Linked DNA regions of Nothobranchius furzeri. The protein of the gene in region 5 interacts with the protein of the main gene of each other region in a pairwise test. Links are inferred from orthologs where the notes say so. Each region holds a gene or a part of one and is shown on either strand. Other genes may lie near its edges. The genes, in order: plekhb2, arrdc3a, dazap2, rnf11b, stam2 and klhl42.

Region 1 (4,632 bases), on a different chromosome or scaffold from region 5:
TCAGAGGTTTGCACCCCGTGGCTCTTCAGACCTTCCACAATAGATCTATTAATAACTTTAGCTAGAAAAGGTGAAAAACTAAACGTTAAATATAAATAAAAATTAAGCTGATTTAAGCAGTGGACTTGAATTCCCTCTTTATGACACTTAAAGTACAGAAAAGTACTATTAATTTTTCTTTTACACCATTTTCTGCAAATATCAACATCCCATAGGATAAAAATTATATCCATATATTTATTTTGGAAAACTTTCTTTCCCCCATTTTAAAACTCAATAACAGAAACAAAATGATGACTTTTCAAATATGACAACTAATACCTTTTCAGTGGCTTAGTGGTAGAGCGTCCGTCCTGGGACGGGGAGATCGGGGTTAAAACCAAAGTCTTTAAAAATGGGACCAAATGCCTCCCTGCTTGACATGCAGCTTTAAGCGGTTGGATTGGGGGGTTAAACCACCAGATAGTTCCTGAGCACAGCCACAACTGCAGCTCACCACTCCCCACGGGGATGGGTCAGAGGAAGAGGTAACATCACCAGTCTCTGATGATGATTAATAAAGTAGATATTTAAGTAAAAGGAAAAAAAGGTTTTAGACTTTTATCTCAGGAAAAAAGTGAGAATACTGATTTTAACCTCTGAATCCTGACTTCTCTTCGAATTATCACATTATTCCCAGAATTGGAAGAAAAAAAGATTTCAGTGGCCCTAATCCTAGATATTAATCAAAAATGATAAATGTTCTTGTTTTTCAAAAGGTCCTGCAACAAATACGACTCTAAACAAGTTTTATTCTGGTGAACTGAGGGGAAAAATAGCCATTTGTAAAAGTTGCTGACCCCTGTTTCAGTCACATGGGGCGACGGTGGCACAGGAGTTAAGAGCTCGCCCCGCAATCAGAAGGTTGCAGGTTCGAGCCCCGCTCAGTCTGTCGCTGTCGTTGTGTCCTTGGGCAAGACACTTAACCCACGTTGCCTGCTGGTGGTGGTCGGAGGGACCGGTGGCGCCAGTGCTCGGCAGCCTCGCCTCTGTCAGTGCGTCCCAGGGCAGCTGTGGCTACATTGTAGCTCATCCCCACCAGCGTGTGAATGTGTGTGTGAATGGGTGAATGACTGATTGTGTTGTAAAGCGCCTTGGGGGGTTCCAGGACTCTAGAAGGCGCTATATCAAATACAGGCCATTTTTACCATTTACATGCTTACAACATGTGCCGTTACTCACCTTGGTACTGGTACGGATATGCAACAGCATAGGCTTGGCCATCTGCAGAGTAAACCATCTGTGTAGGACGAGGAGGTGGAGCACTGTAGTCTCCATATGGGCCTGGAGCATAAACCTGGGAAAAAGAAAGAAATATATCGTTACACATTCACGAATACTTGTTAGAAATGCATTTGGGTACTCCATTAACTACACCAGCAGGTGGCAGCAAACTCCGTCTTTCAACTAATAGGTTTCCTGTTTTTTTTTTAAATAATTCTCTTTTCAAAATGATGAATTATGACATAATAGATATTTGTTGTATTTTCCCATCATATTTACAAACAGTTGTACCTGTGGGTGAGTATATTCGGAGTAGGGGGGAGGAGCAGATGCAATCACTTCTGCAAAACCAATCTGAGGAGTAGCAACCACCTACATGATCAACAAATTAAATGAGACTTCTACAAGCGACCAATAACAAAAAAAAAAGAGTTCAATTGCTTCTGAACAAATGAAAGCAGAGAATGATCGGCTCCCTGATGGAGACATTACAAAACACGTCTTCAGCTTAAAGCTTAATGTTTTAAACTTGTAGTAACTCAAATGCTTTTTAAAGTTTTAGCTCAGGAATTTAACCAAACAAAACAAATACAGAACCCCACAGATGCAGCAAAACCTCACCGTATTAATCCTGGCATCCTGCAGTGCCATGGTCCATGCACTGCAACAAAAAATGTTTGAGAATATAAATTATGTTTTTCTCAGAATGTAAACATATTTCATTTCTGTGCATCCACTTTTATCAGCAAAGAAGTTAAAATAAATAAATAAATAAATGTGCTTACAGGGCATCATCTGCACTGTCTGCACACAGGCTGATGACACGTCCATCTCTGCACACTATCTGGAACAATGCATCACGTATCTTTCCCTCTGGTGGGTTCAGTTCTGGGAGGAAGGACAAAAGTTGAGAAGGATTTTTTTTAAACAAAAAAAGTGTATAACATTCTGCAAGTGTGATTTTTACGCAAAAATGTGTGGAAAGAAAACAAACCCTGGCATGCTCCAGAGTTGCGGATGTTGATGCAGTGGACTCTCATGTGAATGTCATCCTCCATGTCGCGCCGTTGTTGATCATTGTAGAAGACGAGCCGGCCATCAGCCCACAAATCAAACCAGTTTCTTTTCCACCGGCGTAATATGGTACCTAAAAGTTAAATATAACACTTGTTTGACAAGATTTCTTGATGTAGACCTTTTTTTTCCACTGAGGGACAGTTGAATACACAGAAACACAATTACTCACTTTGTCTATGAAGCCAGCCACTCTTTACCATAGCCATCTGCAACCCCTAAACAACGTGAGTCAGTTAGAGCTGGAGATGATGACTGGGTGTGGTGCATCTAAAACAAACCTCATGACTGCTAACATAACTGACCAGTCTCCTTCAGAAGAAAACAGCCTCACGTGGAGGGCAAATTAAAGTCTTTTAGAAAGTGATCACTATTAGCAGACTTAGCTCAAATGAGTTTGATCTGCTAGCACAAGAAGTTACCGTGTGACTTTAATAGAGTTCCTGTTCAGTGTTTAAAGTTCAGATGTTGTGCCATTATGTTTATTTATAGTACTGCATTTAATACAAATCATTTAATTCTAATTTACATAAACTGTATGGGTCTCAATGGCAGGTGATGAAATGGGATGAAATAAGTACACATTGTTTAAATGAAATAAACAAATAGCATTTTTTGCTAGCTAGTTTCCAGATGTTAGGTGATAGCTAGTGAACTAGCATGGCTACTTATGAGTTTAAAATGTTCACAAAGTGAGAAAACAGTACAATTCTGTCAGACAACAAGCTTATTTTGTGGTTTACATACTTACTTTTATTCCACTGTTTGTCCCAAACGGTCTTTTTCGTGATAATTAAAACGCGGAAGTGATATGCAAAAGGTCGATGCCTTACTTCGAGATGAAAAGGCCTGACCGTTAGCAAAGTGACTACAGCGTTTAGACCGGAGGGCCGTTATGTTTCAGTCAATGTTAACTCCGCCCCACCGAGCATCTTCACAAGTGGCCCGTCTCTGGAGAGGGAGGTGTGTTGTTTTGAATGACGTAACCGCTCAGCTGACAGCTGTGGAAAGTGCTAGCAAAAAAGCAGCAAGGGTGCGCTTGGTTACAGCTCACACTCACTGTGCACACACACGTGAAATATTTGCCCTTCTCTTGGCAATGCAAATATGTGTGGTTTTATTTGTTTATTGACGGTGAAAGTGTTTTTTTAAACATCAAATAATTCACCTTTAAATAAAATCGAATTTAGAAAATGGTGAGAGGTGGGGGACAAATATTGGCACAAGAACTGAGTTTTAGAATTGTTAAGAGTGTAGAAAGATATAAGTGACCAAATACGAAATTAGGCTGTTTGCCTGGGAACAAAAATGTTTAATTTTGGTCTGGGGAAATAGAAAGGCGGGAGCCAACATTTTAGCCATCGCCCGGCGGCAAACTCAGGATAGTAAAACAAACGCAACAGCGCCCCGTGAAGCCGTGACCACAGAAGCAGCAGAGTAACGCAGCAGCTAAATACATAGCCAGAAATGGCGACGGCAATTTACTTGGAGCATTATTTGGACAGTAAGTATCTGATAATGCACCGAGATCGATAATAACTTGTCAAAAATGTTTTTGTGCTTTACGTTGATTTTTATCGAATAGTTTGCTCAAAAGTAGAGACAAGTAGTTGTTACATTAGCAAACTTTAGCTTTCCAGCTAACTCGCTGTCGCAGCGAGATAAGTAGATGGGTAAAGATGAAATAAACTGTCATTGATAAACACGGTAATAAACCTCCCGTGTTTCACTTATTACTAAAATATCAACTTATTTTTTTATTTACAACAGTAATACTTTATTGATAAAGAGCATATTGTTTATCTTTGACTTATTTGAAATCACTTTCTGTCAGTTTGTATGTTTGCAGCAACCTCTTCGATGTATGCGCATCGCTTTGAAAACCGCGTTTCCCGTAACTGTTTAGACTCCAGCCGAGGCGGGGTGTTTGACGTGCTTTTCAGCTTGTGTTACTATAAATCCTCACACATCTGCAGCTGATGTTGTTACACACTATTATTCTGCCACTGAAAGTTATTTTGCTATTGCGCAAAGTAATAATAATGTTGCATTGAATACATCTCCATAAGCTTTAATTGTGTAACCATAGTTGTTTGAACTCTGACTCCAGTTATAATCACGTTATTACCGAGAGTTTGTCACAAATGAAGGAAACTAGGAATCCCGTGTGTCATTAGATCAATAAGATTCAATCTCATTCAAATGTCTTTGACGGTGAGAAGTACTTAAATTCCTTCTGGAAAAAAGAGACTTTTATGTGTTTTACATTGTATTTGTAATCTTAGTTATTCAGAA
Region 2 (4,712 bases), on a different chromosome or scaffold from region 5:
ATGTGAAGGGTAAAGAGGTTATTAGTACCCTCAGGGCAGGTGTTGCCTCCATTATTCTGGGCTAATGCGCTTAGCAGCATGCGGACATAACACCTGGTACAATCCCAGGTCCAGATTTGGTTATGCAAGCCGAGTCAGCCAGGCACCTTTACCGGGATATTGGCTTACAAGGAAATATTGATTCTGATGAAAGCAGAAACCCTTGTATGCCCGTCGTCTCAAAACAAATACAAACAACAAAAACGGGCACCTGACCTAAATGTTCATCGAGTGTGTGAGAGAAAGACCAAACTCACCATGAGGGAGTACTCCACTCTGATGATGCTGCAGTCCAGGATTGAGGGGGACACAGGTGGGATCTTCAGCATTTTGCCATTCCAGGTCTCCGTTTTGCCAGAGGACAAGGACTCCCCCCGCAGGTTGGCCACCAGTTGCTTGACCTCCTTCACCTTTCCTTTGGCATAGAAGGTCTGTGTCTGGTAGATGGCCGCCTTTGGCACCACCACGCGGGACGAGCAGTTCTCGATCTCGGCAAATATCTGGATAGACTCGCCTACACAAATATAAGACATAATGGAAGTTAATATTTTTCTCTAGTGATAGGAACCCTAATTATGAGTAATCAGTAACAAGTAGAGAATCCTGCAGAATGTGATCATCCCATTGGCTCATCTGGTAAACAGATGAGTAACAACCTTATCGTTTATTCACTTATCCTCACCTGGGGTGTATCCCTTCCTTTCAATTTTGGCACTTAGGGAAATTGGACCTGAGGTGCAGAACCAACAGCAAAGCGTCTTGTCTGCTGTGCCGGCCTGAGGCGACTGAAAAAGTAGAGAAAAAACATCTTATAAACATTTTTTCTTAGTTTACAAACATAAAAGCTATGCATTTCATCATTCCTATGACTTCTTACCAGCAATAACGGAGTGTTGATGTCAATGTGCTCAAAGACTGTAAATTCCTTCTTAGTCTTCATGGGCAGGAGCCATGGCCTGTGGAGCTCTGCCTTCACCCAGTAGCGCACACTGCCATGTTTTCCTTCAAAAGAGGTAGCCAGAGGTCTGCAGGTGACGGTAAAAGAAGGGCAGAAAGGAGAAAAACGGTCAAGTTCTCAAATCTAAATAACTTTTTCTCTGATTCTAGTTTCGTATTGGGACACCTACGTCTGTGGAAGCTCGAGGCTGAATGCATACTCATGCCTTCCTGCATGGATTGTAGTGAGTCCTTCCTCCGAGTTGTCATCGTCTGAAAAACAAGGAGGACAATATTCCAAACACATGTATACCATACCTGGACAAAATGCTCTACGAAGGCATCTGTAAGTCATATCAAAGAACACAGGGTGGGGGAGACAAAAAGAGAATAAACGGGTTTTACAATTGATCTTGTCTGTTAGAAATTAAGTGTATTGAGATTTTAAAAAACAGCAGAGTAAAATTTGGAGAAATCAGAAACTGAACGTGAGTGATGCTAATGCACAAGTAATTTTATGGGGCAAAGCGAAGCGATGCCTTCTCACTTATTTTGGGGGGGGAATTATGAATTTTTTATTTAATATTGCTCATTTTACATGAAAAGGTAAATATGTGGCGGATAAGGACGTGTGCGCAGCCCTTGCCAGCTCAGCACACCCTCCCCCTAGCAGAAGCCGTGTGGTAAACAAGTGCGGAGCTGTCAGTCAAGAGACAGACTCCAGCAGGAGAAGACCGGACTAAACCGGTGTGAGCAGCTTCCCTCGGCATTACGTATTCACTCCGCGACGCCGCAGTCACAACAACCACATACATAAATGCGTCTGACAAGCTCTGTGGTCCCGTAAGACTAAAGGAGCTGCTACCCACTTATTTAAACACGTGTTCCCAACGCTAATAAATATTAAATCGTTCAGCGACAATATCACCACGTCTCGGACATGTTAGCTTAACATAATCCATGCTAACAGACCTAACCGAATACATGCAAATAAAAGCTTTACTGCATTCACTGGTATAAGAAAAAAAAAACTCTTGATTTTAATTAAAAATTAAGAGCAAAGAAATCTCAAATGTCCAGCACATCCTGGTTGCAACTCACAATTCCTTAAAATTTACAGTAAAACCACCAATTTTCGTGTCCTGCAGGTGTTTTACATTGATTAAAAAGTTGCAGTTTTTTCTGCCACTCTGCAGGGGAATGATGTCATTGGCCACACACTAGCATCTTAACCAATCACACACGAGCCAGGGTGCGCTCTGGCTTTCCCCCCGCCCCCTCGCAAACCAGTTTTCGGAACAGGATTGAACCGCTTTGAACAATAGGTGGAAACTTCATCGTTGTTTAGCGATGAAATTTCTAAACAAAGCTTCATAGCTATAAAATACAGAATCAACTCAATTCCAATATGTATTTAAATGAGATAAATCCTCCCTATGCGCCTCAAATGCCATGAAAAACACAAGATACGTGAGCAGCTGTCATTCATTCTGACCACAAAAACAAGCAACGATGGAGATTTTAAAAGACAACTAAATACCCACCGAACATCTCGTCTGAAATAAGGCAATAAAGTGACAGGTCTTTATTTAGTCTTTAATCGAACCAATTATCCTGTTATTGAGCCCTGCAACTCTATATCTTTCAGCGAACCTGATCCCCAACCAGGGGAGCATCACAATTTCTACAAAACTTCTTACCTCTTTCATGTCCAATTAAAATATCTTTGTAGTTCAGGTATTCCACTTCTTCTGTGTAGTTCTGGGTGTAGGCAGTGTTGGATCCAGCGTTTCTTGACTCAGTCCAACGAACTTTTGCTATTCCTTTTGCGTGGATTTTGAGAGATTTCACCCGGATTTCTCCGGTGACTTCGACGATCACCCTCCCTGAGACGGAGTCCCCGCTGGAGAAGACGGGGACGTTGCTGTCATTAAAACAGTCGTAGCTCACTATGAAGCTCTTTACCTTTCCTAGCACCATGGCGGAAAGAGATCTTCTCGAGCTCTAAAAAAAGGAGTTAATGAAAAAATAATCTCATAAGAAAAACGGGGTTGGAGACACTGATCAGTATCTCTGCCCTGCAAGAAGCAGCGGGCACGATCAGTGGCTTCTTTGTGAGCAGTTCATTGAGCTTTGTGAAGGCTGATAACCAGCAATGGATGCTGTTATCATCTGCCTGTCTCCTTGATGGTCTCAGTCACAGACAAGGAAACCCCCGGAGCTCAGCTCACTTTAAACCAGAAGCTGTGTGAAAAACAACCTTCTGCGCCTGCGCGTGGCTGCACAGCCCCCACCTTCTCGCCTTCTGGAACAAGGCAGGCAGAGCAGTGTGAGGCAAAGCTCACATTCATCCAGCCGCCCTGCAAGTATGGTAAAAGCACCTGAAACACCGCATAAAGAAATATTTGCAATAGTCCTGGGTGAGGCTTTTGGGGCGAATTGTAACATTAAAAATATCAATTATCAATATAATAATAAGATTTAGTCCAGTCTGTACATAGTCCACCTCAATATTTGAGTAAGTATTTTTTAAAATCACACAAAACGTGTGAATTTTGTTTTTATTTTGGAGCCACAGCCTGCAGGCTTATTGTGAACACTTTACACAACGCTTTTACATAATCAGAGCAATGTCATTGTAAAATCCAAAGAGCTGCATTTTGCATGATGCACACGGCATAGGGCTGTTCAGAGTAGATGTATAGAACATGCATATTAATTATAAAACTAAAAACAGATCATCTGTGGTTGTAACTCATATACCTGACCCATTTTGATTGTTATTTAACTGATTCTGATCCGTGTATGTTGAGAAGACTCTTTCTCATTGTGTTGAGCTCCCAGTTTTCAGAAAAACAACTCGTGACTCAAAACGCCACCTAGTGGCAACCAATGTTCCCACTATGGGCTGCAGCAGAATCACCTGTTGATCTGCAACAATACCAATGTTCTTTACTTTTAATCAGCCAGTATGGGGATGCTGCCCGAAAGGTAATCAGGCATTATTGTCCTGACGGGGATTTTTTATTTTATAATTTAGTATTAACAAATGCCATTTACCTCCAATTAAATCCAATAAACTTCATAGATTCCCTGACACACCATATGTAATGCCATTTAGTGCATTCATTAATGTTTTTTTCCCATATTACATAAAACACATCTGGAAAGCTGTTTACTTTATCTATACAAAGGACACATTGACATGCACCTTAAACGTTAGGATGTCAATAGATACAGGTGGGATGACTGCAGTGCCAGCTCAGCAAAATATTAAAAAAATAAATAAAAAAACAAACGTTTAATGCCTAGTTGCATGCTGCCCTCTAGTGTCCACTTTGCCGCTGAATTAAAAAGATGGGACACTCTTCTAGCAATGTTTATAATTTATTAATTCGTGGTACTATACTTTTATGCATGAATTGGTTAATGAACGATGGATTTTGTTTGAGTTTTATTTTATTTCAGTTCCTTCTAAATATCAGTTTCATTCTTTGTCCCCATGGACACGAAACAACCCCCCCACCCCCCCTTTTTTTATAGTATACTTTTATTTTGAAATCATGACCAGGAAGTAAATACAATACCTCCCACCGACAGCGCGGTAGTAAAAATAAATTATTTAAAAAAGAAAAAAGACAACACGTTAGGGTAAAACCCGTGAAAAGCCTCAGTTTGGGAATTTTTTTCTTTACTTTTAGATATCTGTTGGAGTTCCGAGGAAAACATGAGCATCT
Region 3 (4,916 bases), on a different chromosome or scaffold from region 5:
TAAACTAGGTAATGCAGGTCTGGTGTTCTGACTCTGTGGGTTTTACAGGAAGAAGAGGACATCTCAGTGCCATTTGTGGCCATTTGATCAAAGAAGAACGGGTCTCCTGAACAGATGCCTGAAAGAAGTCCAATCTGGAATGATTTAAGAGATTCGGTCAAATGAAAGATTACAGGAAGTATCACAACATTTAAAATCAGCGTTTTGTCCTCTCCAAGCGGCGACGGTCATCTCTAGGTCAGAAGTGGAGTACTGTACCTTTCACAAAGGGCTCTAAAATATTACATTCCATTAGGTGATATCAGTATTGTGGCATGGCCAAGCAGCCTGAAGAGGAAGGCGTATGGAGTAAGGGAGGGTCTGGGGAATCATCTGGGACGGGGGTACGGTTTAGGCATAAACAAGGAGGGGAGTAGCTGCTGTTACCAGATGGTATAACCTCCACTGGATCCGCCCAGGAAGAAGTTGTTCTTGCGCTGTGTCATGACAACATTGGCACCCTGCATGGCAGCCAGCTGAGCTGCATTAGGGGGGTGTCCAGGGGGTGGGGGCTAGAGAAGAGGAGAAACGAGCTCAGTGGCAGGTTAAGAGTTACAAAGGCCTTGGCTACAGGTTAAGTCACTCCGTACTCACTGGGATGGAAACACTGCTGCCAGCTGTGAAACGAGCTCCAGCATCAAAGCCACCGTCCACCATCACTGTTGAACCAGGGGGGTAAACAGCTCCCATGTGATAGTAAGCCATGGGAACGTTCTGGCCCACCGGACCAACGGGCATGTGTGGCTGCATGGGCATGTACACCTGAGCACCAGGGTAGGGAGAGGACATCTGAGGCACCTGACCAGGCACCTGAGGTGGAAGCACGTATCTGGGCTGGTATATCTGCATACAAAGACACGAGAAACAGATTTAATTGAAGAATACTAAAAAAAAAAAAAAAGCTAATCTAGGCTTGACCTGTAGATGCAAGCGTTACCTCAGAATATGCAGGTGGTGTGTCTGAGTATGGAGGTGCCTGAGGAGACATTTGCATAGCAGGAGGGTATACAGGTGCAGAGCTCTGCTGAGGGTACACAGCCTGCTGTGGGTATGAGCCTGCAAAACAACATTTCACTTTTAAACACGCACAGCTGAAGAATTATGGGATGAGAACCGTTTCATTATTACTAGGGATGTAAGAAAATATCGATATGGCAATATATCGTGATATTTTTCGCAGCAATATTATATCGATATTCAAAAGCTGTGTATCAGAAATATCGATATGGCAATATATCGCGATATTTTTCCAGCAATATTATATCGATATTCAAAAGCCGCATATAGGAAATATCGATATGGCAATATATCGTGATATTTTTCCCTGTGATTATTACATTGATATTCAAAAGCCGTGTATCTAATTCTTGAAAGAATGCAAACATGCAAACATTTGTGTATTTTCTTTTCGTTTTGTGCAATTCAATCGCCACCCGCTAGTTGGCAGCAGTGTGCAACGGGTTTTGTTTCCACCATTGAACTGTAAATCCCTCCATCATGGTTCAGATACCTCATGTTAAACATGTTACATATCAGTTTTGACTGTTTATTGAACATGCTTATAATAAATTCAGTAAAAAATAGCTTGTAACGTCTGACTGAATGTATCGCAATATATCAGGATACATCGTATCGTCTCCCCTGTATCGTGATATGTATCGTATCGCCAGAATTACAAAAATACACATCCCTGATTATTACTAATGACTTTGACTACTAACATTAAGCTGCAAGTACTTCTTCTCAATCATCATCATCATCATAAATAAACTGATGCTGCTTCTGAGTGGAGATGGGAGGGAGCTGATTACATTTACAGCTAAATACATGAAATTATTACTGATGTGAACGCAACTACTGAGTGGTACACGTTACAGAAAATCCCAATGTCTTGTATACTGAAGCTAACGTTGGTCTTTTTCGGGTACAACTTTGAACGTTTCTACATTTTACAGACAAAAGAACAAAAACCAGATTTTGACACAAAGTGTCTTTAGGTCCAACATTTGGCGGCAGTAAAAGAAAGAACAATGTTTAAATATTGATGGAAACATGTTATTTAATATCATCAGGGGGGATTTATTTAAGCAACTGAAACTGTTGTGCATAATTATAACAAACTATGTGATGACTGTAGCAAGTCTGTCACTGCCAAGAGAGTTTCTAGTTTTGTTTTGAGTGCATTGTATGGCAAACAATACCAGGAAACTAGACATAATCACTTTTCTCAGCCCAGACAGTATAAGCAAAGGGTAAAAATGTATTACTTGTAAAAACACAAGTGAACGGATTAGAAATTAATAAAATGTAAATGGAAGATTTTATTATAAAGCCGAATCTGATTAACACAACGCACAAAAGCCTGGTGGTTAGTAAACAAATGTGAATTTTACATTTTCTTTGTCTTTCCAACATGACAAATCGACCATCGCGCATTACAGTTTGAATAAAATGTCTGCTTCTATTTTAGCTTTAGTGAAACAATTAATTCAGTAAGAAAAATATCATGAAATGTCATTAGCATTAGCCACGAACAAAGATGTCATGCTACAAAAAGACAATCTAAGCTCAAATAAGACAAACAAAAGAAGAAATAAACAACCTGGTGCATTTTTGCGCCGAACAGGTCTAAAAACATAAATGTAACCGGGATGTTCTTTGTTAACAAGAACTCCCCCCCTCCCCAACAAAAACAGGAAAGCCATGTCAGATTTGCTTTTATAATCACGTTAGCTTGCTGGAACACATCTGACCGGCCCGTTTTGGTCAAATAACAAAATGTGAAACTAAATTCGGACATCCGACGTTAGCAATATCCAAGACAGCTTGGTTCGGAGTGTGCGTCAGTTTATTGTTATGTACGTAGCTTCAGTTGGCCACAACGCGAGCTCCTCGTCTTTCCTTACAACGCCAACGTCAAGTAACGAGTAGCTAGCTGGAAAATGAAACACACGACGGAGAAATACCTTTGTTATTCATTGTTGTGGACTGATTCGGAGGCTGAGGAACATCAGATTAAACGGCGCTTTGTGTATCTTGTCTCGGCCTTATAATAGCTTACGGCTTGACACTTCCTTGTTTCTCAGCTTCTTGTTGTTGTGGAAGTGGTTACGTCACCCGTTCTTTATCTGCGGTCGGACGCACGCTCAGTTTCACCTGCACGCGCGCGCCCCCTTCTGGAGGAAATGAGATTTGTTTTTAAAGGAATATGAAAAGCACAAAAAACCCTAAATATTAGCTAAACGTAAAATGAAATTAATACTTAAGTGCGTACTACAATCAGTGTTGGGCAAGTTACTTCAATACTGTAATGCATTATCTATTACTTGTTACCCTCATTTTAAAGTAATTCATTACATTACAATATTACTGATTTTAAAATGTAAGGCATTAAACTACTTTTGAACTACTTTAAGTTACTTTCAACAATACAACTTCAATATGAATCTGGTAATCTGACGCTCAGTGAGCTCATGACATATATGTGGAAAGTGATGTGGTGTCTGAGCAAGCCCCCACAATGCAAGAGCAAGTCTATGGAAACCCATTGTCCATATATGTATGTCGATGTGTCTGAGCTAGCTAGGGTTGCTGTTAAAAACAGTCAGATATAATAACAGTGCTTTAAAATTATTGTTTATTAAATAAAAGCAACAACAATCTGTACTCTCAGCACGCTGCCATCTTATATTAACTGAGCATGGTGGGGGCTCCAAGCCTATATTTGCCTTGGTCCCCAAATGCCTTGATATGGCCCTGGATGTGGGACTGACTTCTGGGGTGATCTGATTCTATCACATGTATAAATATTAAATGCTTATATATTATTGCTTTTCACTGGTAAAAATGTGTATTGGGGATAAATCTACCTACTTTTTTCTTTTGAAGCACTTTGTTTTGTTTTCTTGATTTTATTTGAATAATTTCCTGCCCTTTTTCTCTCTAACCTTCCTGCATGCTGCATGTTTTCTCCGTCTTCCAGAAAAACTGTTCCCTAAATTTCTTACTTTCTAACTAATCAGCCAAAGGGATCTACCAAACCCACAAAAAAATAAAATAAACATTTTTTTAAAAAAAGCTTAATATTCGTTGCGCTCCAGCAGCAATAAGTTGAAATCACCGGGGCACAGATTATGAAGTCAGCTGAAAAGTACATGAAGTACCAGAGAATATGGACTGATATAAACGATCGCACACGAATTACTTTGTTTTGGTCAGAGGCGTGTCCAGGGAGTGGCCTGGGGTAGCACATGCCACCCTTGGAATCTGATTGGCCACCCCAGGTGCCATCACACTAATTTACCTTTAAATAGGCTTTTCATTGTCCACAAAAGGCTTGGGGGTAAAACAAAAAAAGCATAACCATTGGTGCCACCCATGCACAAAGTTGTCCCTCAACTGGGCCACCCCATTTTAAAAGATATGGACACGCCACTGGTTTTGGTGGAGCGATTTTGTGAATATAACAGCGGCCGCGCGCAGGACGCAGCTGGAGTATTTGAGCCATTACCGCTGCGTCCTCTCTGCTCATAGAACGCCCGCAAAGCTGAGTCCATAAATGACGTCATATATGTAGATACTGGATCTTTTTTCAGGCTTCCCGCAATTTGAACTGATTCTGGGTTTAAAAAAGCATTGTAATTACCGCGTTACTGACAATTGTACCGAGTAAATGTTTTTCTTTCCCTGTAATGCCTTACTTTAACACATTACAGCAAAAAGCAATGCATTACAGTAATTAATTACTTTTGTACCACGTTACTCCCAACACTGACTACAATATTACGATATAGTTTTTTAATACTTGTTACTGCATGTTCATTGTTTTCAGTAGATTTTGCCTACAGCCTCATGTGGGGGTGGATGATGGTCTGCTG
Region 4 (4,841 bases), on a different chromosome or scaffold from region 5:
TTTCGTAAACGGTTACACCATCTCCTCTCAGACACCACAGCTGAATGAGCTAATTATCTTCACCTTTGTAAGACGATAAAATGTGACATTAAGAACCTCTGATGCATTGTTCTGAGAGTCAAAAAGTGATAAAAGCTTATTATATGAAGTTCAGAAAATTTGCTGGTAAAAAAAAAATCTCCCAAATAAACGTGAAGTGGTCATTCCAGCGCTATGGCATGCTACATTTCTATTCAAAATAGCAAAATAAAAATGCCCCAGAGCAAGACCGTGAGAAAGATAAAAGATGATAAGAGAATGATCAATGTCAATCACTCTGTGAAATTCTGGCAGTAAACAATGGCAGTTTCTCAATATTCAAGTATGCTGGTATGTTCTTGTGTACTTGACAAGTATATTCTTGGCAAGCACACCTGAAAATCTGTTCTACTGAGTACGGGAGGATGAGGATGGCATTTGGAACAGAACCGTACTCCGTTGTGTCATGACAAAAACAACCGGACATAAAAATGGAAGTCTAGTTTCTCTCTAAAACACAAAATAACAATAAATACATTATATTTGTATAACACTTGGTCCACTTTTGATCAAAAACATAAAATACCTACTTTCCCAATTGTTAAATGAAGAAAAAAAGTTTCTTTTTCATCTAAACAGAGCTATTTTGGGCAACGCTACTTTTATTTTAATAGTTGGTCACCTAATTTGCATTTTAAGACATTATGAAGAGTCTGGAAAATAAAAAAATTCACACTGCGAGTTTTACAGGTTACACACAATTATTTACAATAACAGACAACTCTATATTTTTTTCTTTATTTGTATTTCTGATACACTACAGTTATAAGCTTTCTCCTCTGTTGTTTGTGTGTAATGGTTTGCAACGCAATGCATTAAGCAATACTTTGTTGTCCCAAGTCCGCAGAAGGAAGCTTTGATGCATCCTCGATACAATGGGCAGAGCAAGAACACATCCGGGAACTCTTGTGTACTTGCATACAGGAGTTCTTAGGATTGGAATTGTACTTGGGCCATCACTGATGACGTTTCACAAGGATGGGAGTACACAAGTTCAGACGAGTATGCAAAACAAGAAACGGCAGTGCAGTATAGCATATTTTGCTGTCTCAAGTCCGCAGAAAGATGCATTAATGTATCCTTGATACAATAGACGGAGGAAGAACACATCTGGGAACTTTGAGTAAACTTACCAAGATATGTATTTACTTACAACATAGGCTCATTCAAACATAACATAATAATGCTGTGAACATGTATAGATACTTTATCATACATTCTCACCAGCCTGTTACTCAAAATGCACCAAACTGATGCTTTTCACTATAAAATGTCCAATGTTTTCTACCGGGGGCATGCCCATGGACCCCCCTAGAGTAGTTTAATACTAGTCTAAGGATGACTTGCAATGATGACAAATCAAATCAGCATTTATTGTTCATAAAGGTCAAATGTATCAGTGATAGTGTACACAGTGAGAAGATGCAGTTTGCATATTATTTAATCAGTGTATCAGGATGCGCACACACACAAGATGGCTCACTTATTTGGATATCATTACATTTTTGTGATCCATTTATTATTATTCTCTATAGTTTAATGTAACATAAAAGTTTGTCCTTTTCTTTTAATAACTACTGCAAACCAATCCCTTAAATTAATAGAATTTGTTTATTTTGAATGAAAACAACAGGATTGTGTCACTTTTCTCCATGAAAGCATTTGTTGTTCTGACACTGCATTTATTCTCTTGAGCTTTAACAATTCCAATCTTAAAGCCTACAGATAAGACCTCACTTGACCTAGAAACAAGCATTCTAAACCAGTGTCCTAAAATAACACACACACACAATACTTTACAGCAAATCTAATATTTACAGTTACGACATGACCTGGTCTATGTTTGGATGATCTAATTTAGGGAGTAAGGACAACAGACAAGAACAAAGTTGCTGCCTGAAGGTGTTCAGTCAGAGAAGCAGGAGAGAAGTCAGCCTTTTCTTAAAATACACACACGCTACAGCCTGTTTCAAGACTGAGAATTAAAGCTTGTGTTGTCATTTTCAGCTCATAACAGATGTTTGCTTCTTTTTCCTTCACATCATCAACCCAAACCACAGGGTTTAGTGAGTTTGAATGAATTCACTCTCCAGGTGATATTTAAGACACCAGTGCTGCAGAAATTACAGTGAAGATATTATGCACAGAGAATGACCTTAAGATGTAAGAAAGAGGATTATTTACAGTATCATGAAAGGACTGAGTCAGTGGGTAGGGTTACTGTCTACGGACGATGTCAGATAATCTGTATACAGCTGATTCCGGTTCTCAAAATGTTCGTCCAACATTTATTTTCTGACTTTGTCATCAGGCAGACAATGCAAACAAATTGTAAAGAGGACCAAAATGTCTAAACAACACACAGTGTGTGAAGTTTAGTTTTAATGAATCAAACCACAACAGCTAGTTTAGTTATGATGTCAATAGATACCTGATAGGGGGGCGGTGGCTCCTGATCTGGGTCAGCACCGTCTCCATAGCTGGCTCGGTCCGACTGCGATTCGTGTAGCAGAGAAATATCATCCGAGGTCGGAGATTTTAAACAGTTTCCCATCTCCCTCCTCTTCTATCAAACTCTACCTTCTAACCGCGTCGCTCTACCAGCAGCGGATTTCACTGCTCACTTCCACAGAAAATGTCAGTAAATAAGAAGACGTCGAGAGGACGTTTTTCCATTCACAGCTGATGAAGCTCCTCTCCCAGACGACGGGAGGGCTGGCTACTTCAACAAAAACAAAACATCACTAAGACCAGCAGCTAGCCACACAAAAAGCTAGCCTGCTAACACTAGCTAGCACTCTGAGGGGAACATCTAAACGTCTGGGCGCAGAATCGCGGCTTTAACATAATTTTATATCAGCAGAAGGAAGAAAGCGAGCAAAATAACTGCTTTCTTCATTTAACGTGACACAGCTTTCCACGGTTCTCCAGCCTGAGTCCGATCTAGCTGCCAGGGACTTTCCAAAGCAGCTGCTGAACAATGACAAAAGCTGGGTGACGTACAACGTGGGGGACGGCTCCTTTAAACAACTGACCAATCAGCTTTCAGTTTCGTTCACGAAGTTCTTGTTGACAGCCAATCAGATGGTTGGTCACGTTGCCTTACATTGAAAACGTAAACACACAACGTTAATCTGCAAATGAGTCATGTTCCTACCAAAAGAACGATTTCTTTGCAGATCGGAATTGTCCTCTGAGTTTTATATGATAAAACCATTCATCAGTTGTGTTATTGAAGCTCTCGGTTTAATGAGATGTGTTCCATGGCGGCCTCTGGTCTGCAAAGCCATTTTTTCATTTGTTAAATTAGAATCCAAAACCAAATTAATGCAAACAACCTGTGTCATTTTTGTTCTGTGTGCTGAAAAATTATTGAACTTAAATGACGTGGAAAGGAAAGAATACAACACAAAAGTATATATTTCATTATAAATCACAACTAAAATGTAAATGGAAGTCATCCTGCTTGGTGGGTAACCATGCCCAATACACAATACAGAACGTGTAAACACAAAATTTTGAATGCTGAATTTCTTCCATTTATACAAGTGTAAAAGCTAAAAGGATGGGGAAAATTATGATTAGTTTGCAGAATCAACACATTCTAGAGTCGCTGCAGTTGCAACAATTCTAATAATACATTTCCTCCACCAATAAATATTAGACACTGACTTCAGACAATTAAACTGTACCCCAGACCTCTCTCAGTTATAAATAAATCAGCAGGACTTGTATCCCAACTCTTGAGGCACCATGTGAGTTCTCTGAACTGTCAGGTTTCAGGTGCTCAGCCTTTTCAATCACCCACTCGCCAATCGTTTATGAGGAAAGCTGTATTTGTTCATCTGCAGATAACTATTTGACACAGGATGTGGTTTTACATTCAAGTCCTTCTGTTGGTAGCTCTAGCAACAGGATAGCAGGTAGAGAAACAGCAAAAGAAGTCGACTGAAGTCTACACAAGCTGTGAAAACTTGATGGCTGCTGGGGGTTAAGAGTTTCTTCACCCACTAAAGATACAGCCGGCAGTCAAGCTCGCAGTCCTACGCCGCTTGCTGTGAATGGCCTGTTTGTTCAAGCTCAAGTATTGCTGGAGCCCGTCCCACACACCAGGAGGAGAAAAGGAGGGAGTCTGCCTTTTCTAAAAGACACATTCATCTGTCCTCTCAAAACAGGACAATTCATGTAAAAGATGCCATTTACAGTAAATAAATGTAAAGACCAACTCTCCCAGGCCGTTTGACATCCAAGAGTTGACAGTTTCATGGGCGATACACAAAGCTCGGTGCAAAAACCAAAACATAAGCTGTGAATACAGGGTTATATTCAGTAAGATGCTCCCTCGATTCTGACAAACACAACAATCATGTAGTGTAAACACATGATCCCACATTCTGAATTAAAACAGAACAAGCTGGTTTTGGAAAGTGAGACATTTCCAAAACCTACATTAACATTACAGTGGAACAGGTTTATACCCGGTACTTAAATAGTGCTGCTGTTCGTGTGTCATGTATCTGAGGCTTTATTTAACTCCACCAGGTTCAGGTCTAGTACCCAGCACTGAGCATATCACTTGGGACAAAGCACTGAATATGTCACAAAAATTTAACCTTGTTTCTGCTCAAATGCAACCAGTGTGAAAGAGACAAAAGGCATGCTGGAAGCAGTGTTTCATAAACACATGAACACACATTTCTCCACTCAATTTGTTAAAAAAAATATGTGTGAGAAAGTGACTAACTGTAATGTGTCTCTGGAAG
Region 5 (4,836 bases):
AGCACCAGGTATGTCAGCTCCGTATCCCAACAGAGGAAGTGGAATATTCTGGCCACAGAGGGCGATAGGATCTGGGTGGCCTTTCATAAACCCTGCAAAGGGTCGTTTAAGCACATGCTGGCGCAAGAAAATGATTTAAAAGCATGACAAACTTGCAAAGTATCCCTTTGTCATCAGTTTATCTCCATTGTGGTTGCTAGGCGATAGGCTGAGGCGAGGGCAGGAATAAAAATGAAGGCTAGCTCACTGGATTTGGACTCACTCTCTTTGATCTAATGGGGCTCTCCACCAGATGCAAAACCTAACAGATGAGTTTTCACCACAACGTCAGCAGAGCGTCTCCTCCTACCAGGACTGTTTCAGACACGCGGTGGCTGCGAACGCGTTCCACGCAGCTAATCTCAAAAGATAATGAAAATCACAGGAGAACTGCAAGATCACATGTGATTTCACCAGATCACATGATAACAAGCTAGGACAAACAGCTACAACGTAGGGCTGGGCGATAGGGCTTAAAATCAATATCACGATATATTGAGGATTTCACCTCGATAATGATAAATGGACGATAACTACAGGTATGTGCAGAAACAAATGTTGTCCACTAGATGGCGCTGTCACATGTATTACATTAAATCACATTTTTACGTGACTTAAGGTGGTACAGCTTCTTAAAAGGCCATGAACGTTGCCAACCTACACACATCTTTTCATTTGTTTATTATCTAATTTACTGAAATGAGAAAAATGATCGATAAAAGTGACAAATTTCGATAAAGATACATTTTCAATTTATTGCACAGCCCTACTGCCACGTTTGACTTCCTGTCTGGACTGATCGGAGCTGCTGAGCATGTTCTGAAACCATAGCATGTAAGACAGATCCAGCAGCACGTAAATTTACCGGAGGCCTCGATGCTACACTACAACGTGTCTGAGGCGTACCGCTGCACGCCTGGGGGAAACACACCCACAGACTAGAACGGTGACCGTTAGCTGTGGACTTCGCTTGGAAGACATTACCCGTCGCTTATGCATCTGATGGAAACCTGGGGTGATAGACAAGCCAACTGCTAGTCTGAGCAGAAAATTTCACACAAATTATTTACTCACCTTAGTTTTCTATTTTCTTAACTTTAAAGCCTAAAAGGCAGAATGAAACTCACGTTGAGAGCCTGCATGGCGACATGAGGCACTTTGTGGTTGACTCGCTTCATTATGGATTTCAGGCCGTCCTTCGGGCTGAACCAGAGGAGATAAACCAGATTAACTCCAGGAAATGGGATTGTTAGCAAACCATATATGTGTGGCATTAGACTCCATTCACTAAATCACTCCAGGAATTATTCAGTGTCTTTGCCCAGCTCACCCATTGGCTGTCGTTCCAATCTTATCGCAGATGTCCATGATGAGCCCCCAGTCATCTGTTGTGTTGTTTTCATTTGTTGCTTTCTCTGGAAATGGTGCATATGGTCAAGTGAGAAAACATGCTCGCTGCCATCATGGCTGCTGGGTTTTGATGCCAGCCACAGCAGGCGAGTGCCACCGGGCTCTTTGGTCACACAATGAAGCACAACCACCTCCCAACAACCTCCCTCAGATGAACATTTGGCACAACAGTCATGACTCCTGAGTCCACAGAGCACCATTGTTTGGTCTAAGCATGCTGCTGCTGGGGTGGGAAAGGCCGGCAAACGAGGAAGTGATGAAGAGAATTTACATTCAGAACAATAAAGATGCATCTAGACTTGGCAGCAGTAATATCACAACTGCTTTGAATAATGTTAGCCACTTTGTGTTGATTTTTAATTCACCTGCACTGAACTGAATAATAATAGTTTCATATTTCACTTTTTACCACATTGTTGTCTGTTGTTTTAAGTCCGTTCATCTGCTGTGGCTTAATGACACAAACTGTTGAGCCACAATTCTGGAACTTTAATATTGTATTCTAAATTTCCTACATTATCATTAACATTTTAATTAAGTCTTAATATTTTATATTGATGATAAAAAAACTCATGTTGGTTTTAAATATTGGTATTATCTCCGTTTAATATTCATTTGAATAGCTCTAAAGCACCAAACTTTATGAAAAGAGCGTAATAAAATATTTCAAATTGATAATGGTTTAACTGGATTCAACCATCCCAGCAGAGCGCAGTTAAAACACAGGCTTAATAAGAAAATGTTTAAGTTGAGCTGAGAACTAATATTACTGTTATTAGTGAGACAAGTATCCCTGAACCACAAAAGCAAACACATGTGGAGAAAAATAAGAATAAACGTGATTCTGAGAATTGAGCCGAATTGCTCCTGAGGTAACAGGGAGTGGAAACAACACATCAGCGATATTTGTTTAATTTCCAGAGATCTACACCTCACTACAACCCCTGCTGGGTTTTTAATACACACTGTTGGGCAATTTGATAAATAAAACCAAAAATATCTAAAATAAAACATGATAAAGCCTTCACAGACCTGCATTTTTTCTGTTTGTTTGGTAAAAATGTACTCCCAATATTATTATTTTTAATGATAATAACAATACAATTTTGAAACAAAAGCATTTTGAGCCAGAAAGTAATCTTTAACATGCTTATGTCCCACTTACCATTTCAGATCATAAAGCACAACATTATATTATTAGAAACGTTTGTAAGAGAAAAATCCATAAACTAGTTTGTGTTGACAAACAACTTGAAATTAAATTAAATTTAATTTAAAATTTGAAATGTAAATTATGACAAATAAATCATCCACCTGTGTCTCAGTTATGAATCTTAATTTATTTAATTGGATTTACGAGTATTTTAAAGTGTACTCGGTTAAAACTAACACATTTAAAGGGCCCTTGCTATTTTTTTAGGAAAAGAGCTAGCTGTTATCATGAGTCAGACTTAAGTTGGTTACAAAACAACGCCCGAAATGACCCTCAGACTAGATAAAAGTTGTTGACAAGAAGTCAACAAAACGTTAAAAAGTGGACAAAACCTGTCAGGGTTGAACGTATTAAAACTGCCAAAGCTGAAATATCGTAACTTTAGAGCTCACTAAGCTACGTTAGCATTAGCTTCTCGTCAGCTGCTCTGAGTCCATGAAAAGACCAACAATAAAACAAGTCACTCACCAACATCTTGATCGAAGGGATTTTGGGAAAATAAAGGCATTTTAGCGACTCAAAAGAAACTAGGCTCCGACAAAGAAGAGTACGCGTGTTATCGAGACTAAACTTAAACAAGCGTTTATTCCTTGTTGTCCATTAAACTTGCACTAGTTGCTCTTCCGGTGTTGTGCCAAAAACGGCACCCCTGTCGTCATAGCTATTTCCCAAATGCCTGTTCGGTTGGGAGGAGAGCCGAGAAACACTAGTAGTAGTACATTGATTTAGTCTGGCTTGCCAGGCTAGAGAAACACTTCAGTAGTTTTGCTAGGAAATATATGAAATATATAAAGTATTTATATAATATAGAATAGAATAAAATAGACTTTATTGGTCCCACAGTGGGGAAATTCACTTCGTACAGCAGCTCCAACACTTATATAAAACTTACATTACTATATATATATATATATATATATATATATATATATATATATATATATATATATATATATATACATACATACATACATACATACATACATACATACATACATACATACATAAAACCTTCGTCCACTAAAAACTACGAATAAAAAAGGAAAAGCTTGTGTTCCAACACTACTATGCAGCAAATGTAAGCTATAAAAAGATACTTTTTAAAATAATTTTTGGATTGAGCCTTAAATCTGATTAAATCGTGGTTTTGTTACAAAGTTGTTTTATTCTTTATAAAAATACATTAAAATGAACCCGTTTTTTTTTCTTTATTTCTGATGTTTTATCAGGAGGCAGTGTAGTGTTGTGCCGTCTTATTTACATATTATAAATGTGTTCAACGTTATCTTTTAAAATACGTATTTATCTTGTCTCAGGAAGTTAAATGTCGTTTTGTTTTCTTTAAAACCAAGTCAATGCAAATGCAAAGTGAAATTGCCAGAAAATTGATGGAGATGGATTTGGAGATTTCTGTATAATAAAAATCATCACAGGAGGACGACAAACGCACAGCAGAAACGTGATTCAAGAGTTACAAGATAGTTCAGCCCCCAAACCCCTGCTTCATCGATGCCTGCTCTTATTTCAAACCGGAAGTTTAAGAAGTTTAGAACCATCTTGTTTTGTGACGACACTTCCTGGTGTAACTCCCGATTGTTTCCTGACTCAGCCTGACGTCCACCGTCGTTTAGGACCGTTAAGGGTTGGAGTCATGTCGGCAGCTGTTCCGGGGACCAGCAAGGCGGCCCACGGTGATGCGGGCTCGAAGAAGAAGAAGGGACCCAGTGCCCTGGCCACGGCCTACCTGGTTATTTACAATGTTGTGATGACAGCTGGGTATGTAATGTGTTTCCTCGTGCTAACGCTGCTGGTGAGCTGGACCGTGTGTGCATTTGCGCTGCATGCAGGTCAGGACCCGAAAATCCTAATAATAATAAAAAAATAAATAAACAATTTGATGCGATAATACATAAGTATTAAAATGCTTAAATATAATTGGAGACATTGTGGTGTTATAATTTCATCCTCGACTTCTTACGGCTTACACAGATTAACATGAGCAACAGACAGCCAGCTGGCATGGACGCCATGGTGTTTACAATCCAGAAACAACAGGAAATACAGCTGGTTATGTTGAGATTCAATTTTATTTTATTTCTTACTAATTGTGCTACTTTTTTCACCATCAGTCCAGTAAAGTTAAAGACGTGTGTGTGATCTGGCTTCTCACATGA
Region 6 (4,964 bases), on a different chromosome or scaffold from region 5:
CCACTGAAGAGGGTTTACTGTGAGATATTAAACTGTCACCACATAAATCCTTTAAAATCTAATAATCCCTATATCAAACACAGCCATCCGACATTAAAATTAAATTAATAACTATGAAAAATGACATTTTTAATTCTTGAACATCTTTACAGGCCATGAGAGCAAAACGGAAGTCATAATACTTAGTCCTGCAGAAGAAATAGCTCTGGTGCTGATATTGACGTTGACCCATTGACCCCCTATGAAAAGAAAATGGTCAGTAATTTGGGGATTAAAATGGACTCCTCACTTAATCTTGACACTCATGTAAATACAGCGGTGAGGTCCTGTTTCTTTAACCTGAAAAGACTATCCAGGATCAGGCCTCTGCTGTCCAGAGCTCATCTGGAGTCTGTGTTGCATGCCTTCGTCCTGTCCCGGCTGGACTACTGCAACGCTCTGTATTCTGGTCTGGCCCAGTGCACGGTTGCACGGCTCCAGTTTGTGCAGAACTCTGTGGCTAGGTTCCTGACAGGTACTAGATGTCGAGAGCACATTACCCCGGTGCTGACTGCTCTGCACTGGCTCCCAGTGCAATATCGAGCTAAGTTTAAAATCTTAACTCTCGTTTATAAGGCCCTCCAGGGCAGTGCCCCCTCATACATTGCTGCACTTTTGCAGAGGTATGCTCCATCTCGGTCTCTTGGCTCAGCCGAGCAGGAACTTCTGGTGGTCCCCCGGTCGAAATATCGATCGAGGGGTTGTCGTGCTTTTTCTGATCTGGCTCCAACTCTGTGGAACGAATTGCCACTGAGCATTAGGCAGGCACCATCCCTTCACGTCTTTAAGTCTCGTTTAAAGACTCATTTTTATCTGATTGCATTTTAGCGCTAGGGTTCTTTGAATTGCCCTGACATTATGGTTTTAATTCTTCTTCTTTTTAACCCAGATGCTTGATTTTATTTTGTCCACCATTTGTTTTTGATCGATTCGTCTTATTTCCGTTATCTCTCTTTATTTGTAATAGTGCTTGCTTGATATTTTATGATTTTATGATTTTATCTTGCTTTTATGCCCATGTACTGGGAATGTTTTTCTTATGATGATGCTGTTCAGCACCTTGGGCTTCCGATAACGTTGTGGAAGGTGCTCTACAAATAAAATTTGATTGATTGATCTTTTCAGGCCGAGTTCTGACAGATTAACGCTCCAAGAGCCGTCAAATATAAATATACCTGCAACCTATTTTAGGGTCATTACTGACAAAGACGTACAAAGTGATATTAATTCAGCCACAACCTCGTGTCAGCAGTAGCTCAGGAGGTTGTTCAGTAAACGGAAGGTTGCCAGTTTGATCCCAGCTCCCACTAGAGAATGCTGCTGTTGTGTCCTTGGGCAAGACACTTAACCTGCCTTGCTGCTGGTGGTGGTCGGAGGGGCCGGTGGCGCCTGTGTTTGGCAGGCCTCGCCTCTGTCAGCTCGCCCCGGGGCAGCTGTGGCTCCTCATCACCAGCGTGTGATTGTGTTGTAAAGTGCCTGGGGGGTTGGGGGGGGGGGGGGGGACCCCAGGAGGGCGCTCTACAACTACATGCCATTTGAAGTGTTTCTACTTTAATTGATTAGACTTACAAAATTACTTTGGATACTGCAGATGAGTGACATAATTTTCATACTTTCTTTCATTCATTCGCTGTTTCAGGAGTACGTGACAACATTCAGCAGGCGACACTAAGCTTCCCACCTCTGGCAGTGTATCCACCCATGACGTAGATCAAACCCCGGCACTCACAGGCCGAGAACTCAGCCAGCGGGTCAGGCATCGAAGACACACACGTCCACCAGTCCTGTTCTGGACTGTAACACTCCACAGTGCCGAGACACTGGCCTCCCACGGCAAACAGCTTCCCTTGCACTGCCAGCAGCTTGAAGTTGGACCTGGATGAGATGACACAGAGGGTGAATGAAACAGGGCAGAAACAACAGTCGGGGACTGTGGGAGGAAAATGTACCTCTTCTGATTGAGCGGAGCCACCTGGTTCCACTCGTTCCTGCAGGGGTTGTAGCAGTGCACAGCAGAGATCTCCTGACTGGTCGTCCTGTACCCCCCCACTATGAACAGGTAGTTGTCCAGGACAGCAGACCCATACCCTCTCACGTTAACCATGTCTGGGGGCAGGTTGTTGGCCAGTGGTTTCCAGCGCTGCTCCACCTCTCCATACCTCAGCATGGACCAGGGCTCGTCCTGATCAGGACCGTCCAGCGACAGACAGGTAAAGTCTCCGATGGCCACCAGGGTGGCGGTCCCTTTCATGCGCATCTCTTTGACCTGGTCCCTGACAGCGGAAAGCAGGCTACTGAACTCAGGCCGCCTCAGCATGGGGTGATAGTAGCAGCTCATGTACTTCAGACAGGCGGTTCGCAGGTCATGAGTACCGTAGACTTCAGAGAGGCTGTAGAGCTCCACGCAGTTGTCCAGCCGGATCTCTGAGGTCAGCAGCTTGAGGATGGAGGTGACTTGTAGAAAGGAGGCGGTCTCTATCAGATCTTCCAGGGTCTCATTGACCACCTGGACTTTGGAGGTGTTGATGAACTCCAGAACCAGCTCCAGGCCCGTAACGCTGAGCCCCTGGAGCTGCACAGAGTCCTCAGTAGACTCCCTCATCCCGGAGTTGTAAAGCGCTCGGAAATAATCGCTTTTCTCGATCAACTTATTTTTGTTCACCTCGTAGGTCCTGTCGTCCACCACGATGGCGATTTGGTCTGAGGACATGTTGGAGACAGCTTCCAGAAAGACTTTACAGTTCACCAGCGCAGGAGCTCCGTGGCCGGGCTATATATGGTCATGTTCAGCCCATAAATCCAAACGGAGCTGCTCCTCTCATCCAGAGAAGCTAATCAGCTAACAAGCTGCTGCACCGACAAACCCGCCAAAGCGGCTCTTTCCTCGGGTTAGCATTCCTCGACAGTTCGGTCGAAAAGTGGATCTAGTTTATAAATATGTCAACTACATGTTGCAGTTTATTTTAGACCTTGATAGCGGCTCTTTTAACAAGAATTTCACAAGACCCTTGTGGGAACGGACTGTCAAATTTCCAGTGTTTTGATTCTGCGCTTCTTCGTGTAAATACGGTTGAGTCGAGCTGCTCATCCGCCCTACTGCCACCTGCAGGTCAGTCCTAGAATGGCGTCTAATCGGATTCATTTTAAAAACTATTTTATTTCATTTCCTGGAAACAAGAATAAACAAACAAAAGAAACAAAATTCACCTATTGTGCACAAAATAAAATAAAATAAAATAATTATATATATATATATATATATAATTTTATTTTGTGCACAAAATATAAAAAATGTATACATAAAATTACTCAAGTAAACCTATAATATTTAAAATTAAGAAATAAAATAGCTTCAGCTGTTCCGAATTATTTTGAAAACGGACAGTCTGAAATGAGTGAAACCAGTAAAATAGTAAATGAATTTAACAGTTTTTTTTCTAATGTGGGACCTGACTTGGCAAAAAACATTCCAAAAAGAACTAATTATAGTACAGGTGCAGGCCCGGAGTGGCTAATCGGGAGGGTCTGGAGAATTCCCGGTGGGCCGCGCGATGTTTGGGCCGCATGGGGCCGGTGCTCTCGTTTTTGTTTTTTATCATTTTATTTTTATTTTTTGGTGCCGGTGTTCAGTCATGGCACTGAGGCCGCCGGGCTGATCACATACGCTCCTCCCGGCTGTCTCTGGCTGGCTCTACCTGCAGGCTGCAGCTCGTTTTTTTTCCCCAGTATGCGCCTGTGCGCACCACGTGACCACGCAGTTGACGGAAAGATGGAAAGTAGAAAGAGCAAGGGTGGCGCGGAGAAGGCAAGAATTAAAAAGAGGAAAGCGTTGGAAACAGATGCAGCCAAGGCCGGATTAACCATATGGGCAACTGGGCAATTGACCAGGGCCCACGAAGGGCCCAGGCCAGCAAGCGCACGAGCAAAATACTGTAGGCATGTCTGTAATCTCCCGCATTATATTAAACTAGGGTGACCGTATGTCCGGTTTTCCCCGGACATGTCCACTTTTCACTCTCTGTCCGGGCGTCCGGACTGCGGGTTCTTGTATTGATGAAAATGTCCGGCTTTTCATCCAGGAGCAGGGATCGAATTATGGGGGAGCTGTATATCTTACACATCCAGGGGAGCCGGAAACAAGTTTTCTATCTATATTACATCATTTATGGACTCTTCTGAGCAGAGAGCACAAAGAGCGGCACAGCGCGTTATTGCGCAGCGATCCAGGCAGCTGCGTCCAGCGCACGGTCCATTCTCAAAGTGGCGCAACCAAAAAACTATAATTAGCACACGATCGTTCATGTCCGCACATATTCTCTATTTTCTGTCTTATTTGTGCCTGAAGCGCTCTGCTGCTGCGCAGCTCATCACCTGTGCTGCGCGGTGCTGCGGTGATTTCACCTCACTGACGCAGCATCGAAAGGCGCACTCCGCTTTGCGGTCAGGAGATCCATTTGATCTGCTCAAAAGTAACTGATGAGGTGAAAAAGTAAGAATCCTGGCAGCAGTTTTTTCTGGAGAGTTTAGAGGAGACGCAGGAAGACGAGAGACAGACAGGACAGGAAATAGTTCAATAAAAACAAGAAAACAAAACTAAGTGTAAAGTAAAAGTAGGTAGATTTATCTCCACTACAAGTTTTTACCAGTATAAAACAATAAGTTATACACATGTCATAGTTATACATCTGATACAATTCAAATCACCTTCAAAACTCAGTCACACACCCAGGGCCGTTTCAAGACATTTTGGGGGCCAAGGCAAAATGACCCCCCCCCCCCACCCACCCCATAACTGGGCTCCCCAGAAGCCTCTGTGTAATTGTTACCCTCTCCAGTATTGTTAGTTATCCAGTGTTTATAAAAGCTCCTCAGACATTACTGACATGTTCTAATATTATCAGATGAAATTGAAAGCCACTATTTGT

The links.
Region 1: the proteins of stam2 (region 5) and plekhb2 interact in binary tests that used the Homo sapiens proteins (3 or more experiments, as listed by UniProt). The two-hybrid records come from large-scale screens. The link is inferred for Nothobranchius furzeri from reciprocal best matches to the Homo sapiens genes STAM2 and PLEKHB2.
Region 2: the proteins of stam2 (region 5) and arrdc3a interact in binary tests that used the Homo sapiens proteins (3 or more experiments, as listed by UniProt). The two-hybrid records come from large-scale screens. The link is inferred for Nothobranchius furzeri from reciprocal best matches to the Homo sapiens genes STAM2 and ARRDC3.
Region 3: the proteins of stam2 (region 5) and dazap2 interact in binary tests that used the Homo sapiens proteins (3 or more experiments, as listed by UniProt). The two-hybrid records come from large-scale screens. The link is inferred for Nothobranchius furzeri from reciprocal best matches to the Homo sapiens genes STAM2 and DAZAP2.
Region 4: the proteins of stam2 (region 5) and rnf11b interact in binary tests that used the Homo sapiens proteins (3 or more experiments, as listed by UniProt). The link is inferred for Nothobranchius furzeri from reciprocal best matches to the Homo sapiens genes STAM2 and RNF11.
Region 6: the proteins of stam2 (region 5) and klhl42 interact in binary tests that used the Homo sapiens proteins (3 or more experiments, as listed by UniProt). The two-hybrid records come from large-scale screens. The link is inferred for Nothobranchius furzeri from reciprocal best matches to the Homo sapiens genes STAM2 and KLHL42.

What each region holds. Positions count from the first base shown.
Region 1 is NC_091748.1:41,161,169-41,165,800, forward strand, and holds the start of plekhb2 (pleckstrin homology domain-containing family B member 2), read right to left. Parts: upstream 3,229-4,632; 5' UTR 3,089-3,228; intron 2,556-3,088; 5' UTR 2,547-2,555; coding exon 2,510-2,546; intron 2,411-2,509; coding exon 2,258-2,410; intron 2,152-2,257; coding exon 2,049-2,151; intron 1,925-2,048; coding exon 1,885-1,924; intron 1,636-1,884; coding exon 1,555-1,635; intron 1,337-1,554; coding exon 1,222-1,336; intron 1-1,221. Other genes in the region: ing5a (inhibitor of growth protein 5a), read left to right, coding at 3,805-3,841. UniProt on the Homo sapiens protein: Involved in retrograde transport of recycling endosomes.
Region 2 is NC_091757.1:41,570,894-41,575,605, forward strand, and holds the start of arrdc3a (arrestin domain-containing protein 3a), read right to left. Parts: upstream 3,167-4,712; 5' UTR 2,956-3,166; coding exon 2,676-2,955; intron 1,320-2,675; exon of another isoform or gene 1,292-1,319; coding exon of another isoform or gene 1,249-1,291; coding exon 1,167-1,248; intron 1,065-1,166; coding exon 917-1,064; intron 825-916; coding exon 722-824; intron 554-721; coding exon 297-553; intron 1-296. Other genes in the region: arsk (arylsulfatase K), read left to right, coding at 4,703-4,712. UniProt on the Homo sapiens protein: Adapter protein that plays a role in regulating cell-surface expression of adrenergic receptors and probably also other G protein-coupled receptors.
Region 3 is NC_091755.1:37,293,660-37,298,575, forward strand, and holds the start of dazap2 (DAZ-associated protein 2), read right to left. Parts: upstream 3,170-4,916; 5' UTR 3,019-3,169; coding exon 3,006-3,018; intron 1,096-3,005; coding exon 977-1,095; intron 883-976; coding exon 634-882; intron 552-633; coding exon 423-551; 3' UTR 1-422. UniProt on the Homo sapiens protein: In unstressed cells, promotes SIAH1-mediated polyubiquitination and degradation of the serine/threonine-protein kinase HIPK2, probably by acting as a loading factor that potentiates complex formation between HIPK2 and ubiquitin ligase SIAH1.
Region 4 is NC_091748.1:56,841,929-56,846,769, forward strand, and holds the start of rnf11b (RING finger protein 11b), read right to left. Parts: upstream 3,264-4,841; 5' UTR 2,633-3,263; coding exon 2,510-2,632; intron 1-2,509. UniProt on the Homo sapiens protein: Essential component of a ubiquitin-editing protein complex, comprising also TNFAIP3, ITCH and TAX1BP1, that ensures the transient nature of inflammatory signaling pathways. Promotes the association of TNFAIP3 to RIPK1 after TNF stimulation.
Region 5 is NC_091754.1:32,011,214-32,016,049, reverse strand, and holds the start of stam2 (signal transducing adapter molecule 2), read right to left. Parts: upstream 3,314-4,836; 5' UTR 3,171-3,313; coding exon 3,131-3,170; intron 1,455-3,130; coding exon 1,370-1,454; intron 1,243-1,369; coding exon 1,167-1,242; intron 1-1,166. Other genes in the region: hacd2 (very-long-chain (3R)-3-hydroxyacyl-CoA dehydratase 2), read left to right, coding at 4,314-4,438.
Region 6 is NC_091741.1:34,811,754-34,816,717, forward strand, and holds the start of klhl42 (kelch-like protein 42), read right to left. Parts: upstream 2,956-4,964; 5' UTR 2,750-2,955; coding exon 1,989-2,749; intron 1,915-1,988; coding exon 1,721-1,914; intron 1-1,720. UniProt on the Homo sapiens protein: Substrate-specific adapter of a BCR (BTB-CUL3-RBX1) E3 ubiquitin-protein ligase complex required for mitotic progression and cytokinesis. The BCR(KLHL42) E3 ubiquitin ligase complex mediates the ubiquitination and subsequent degradation of KATNA1.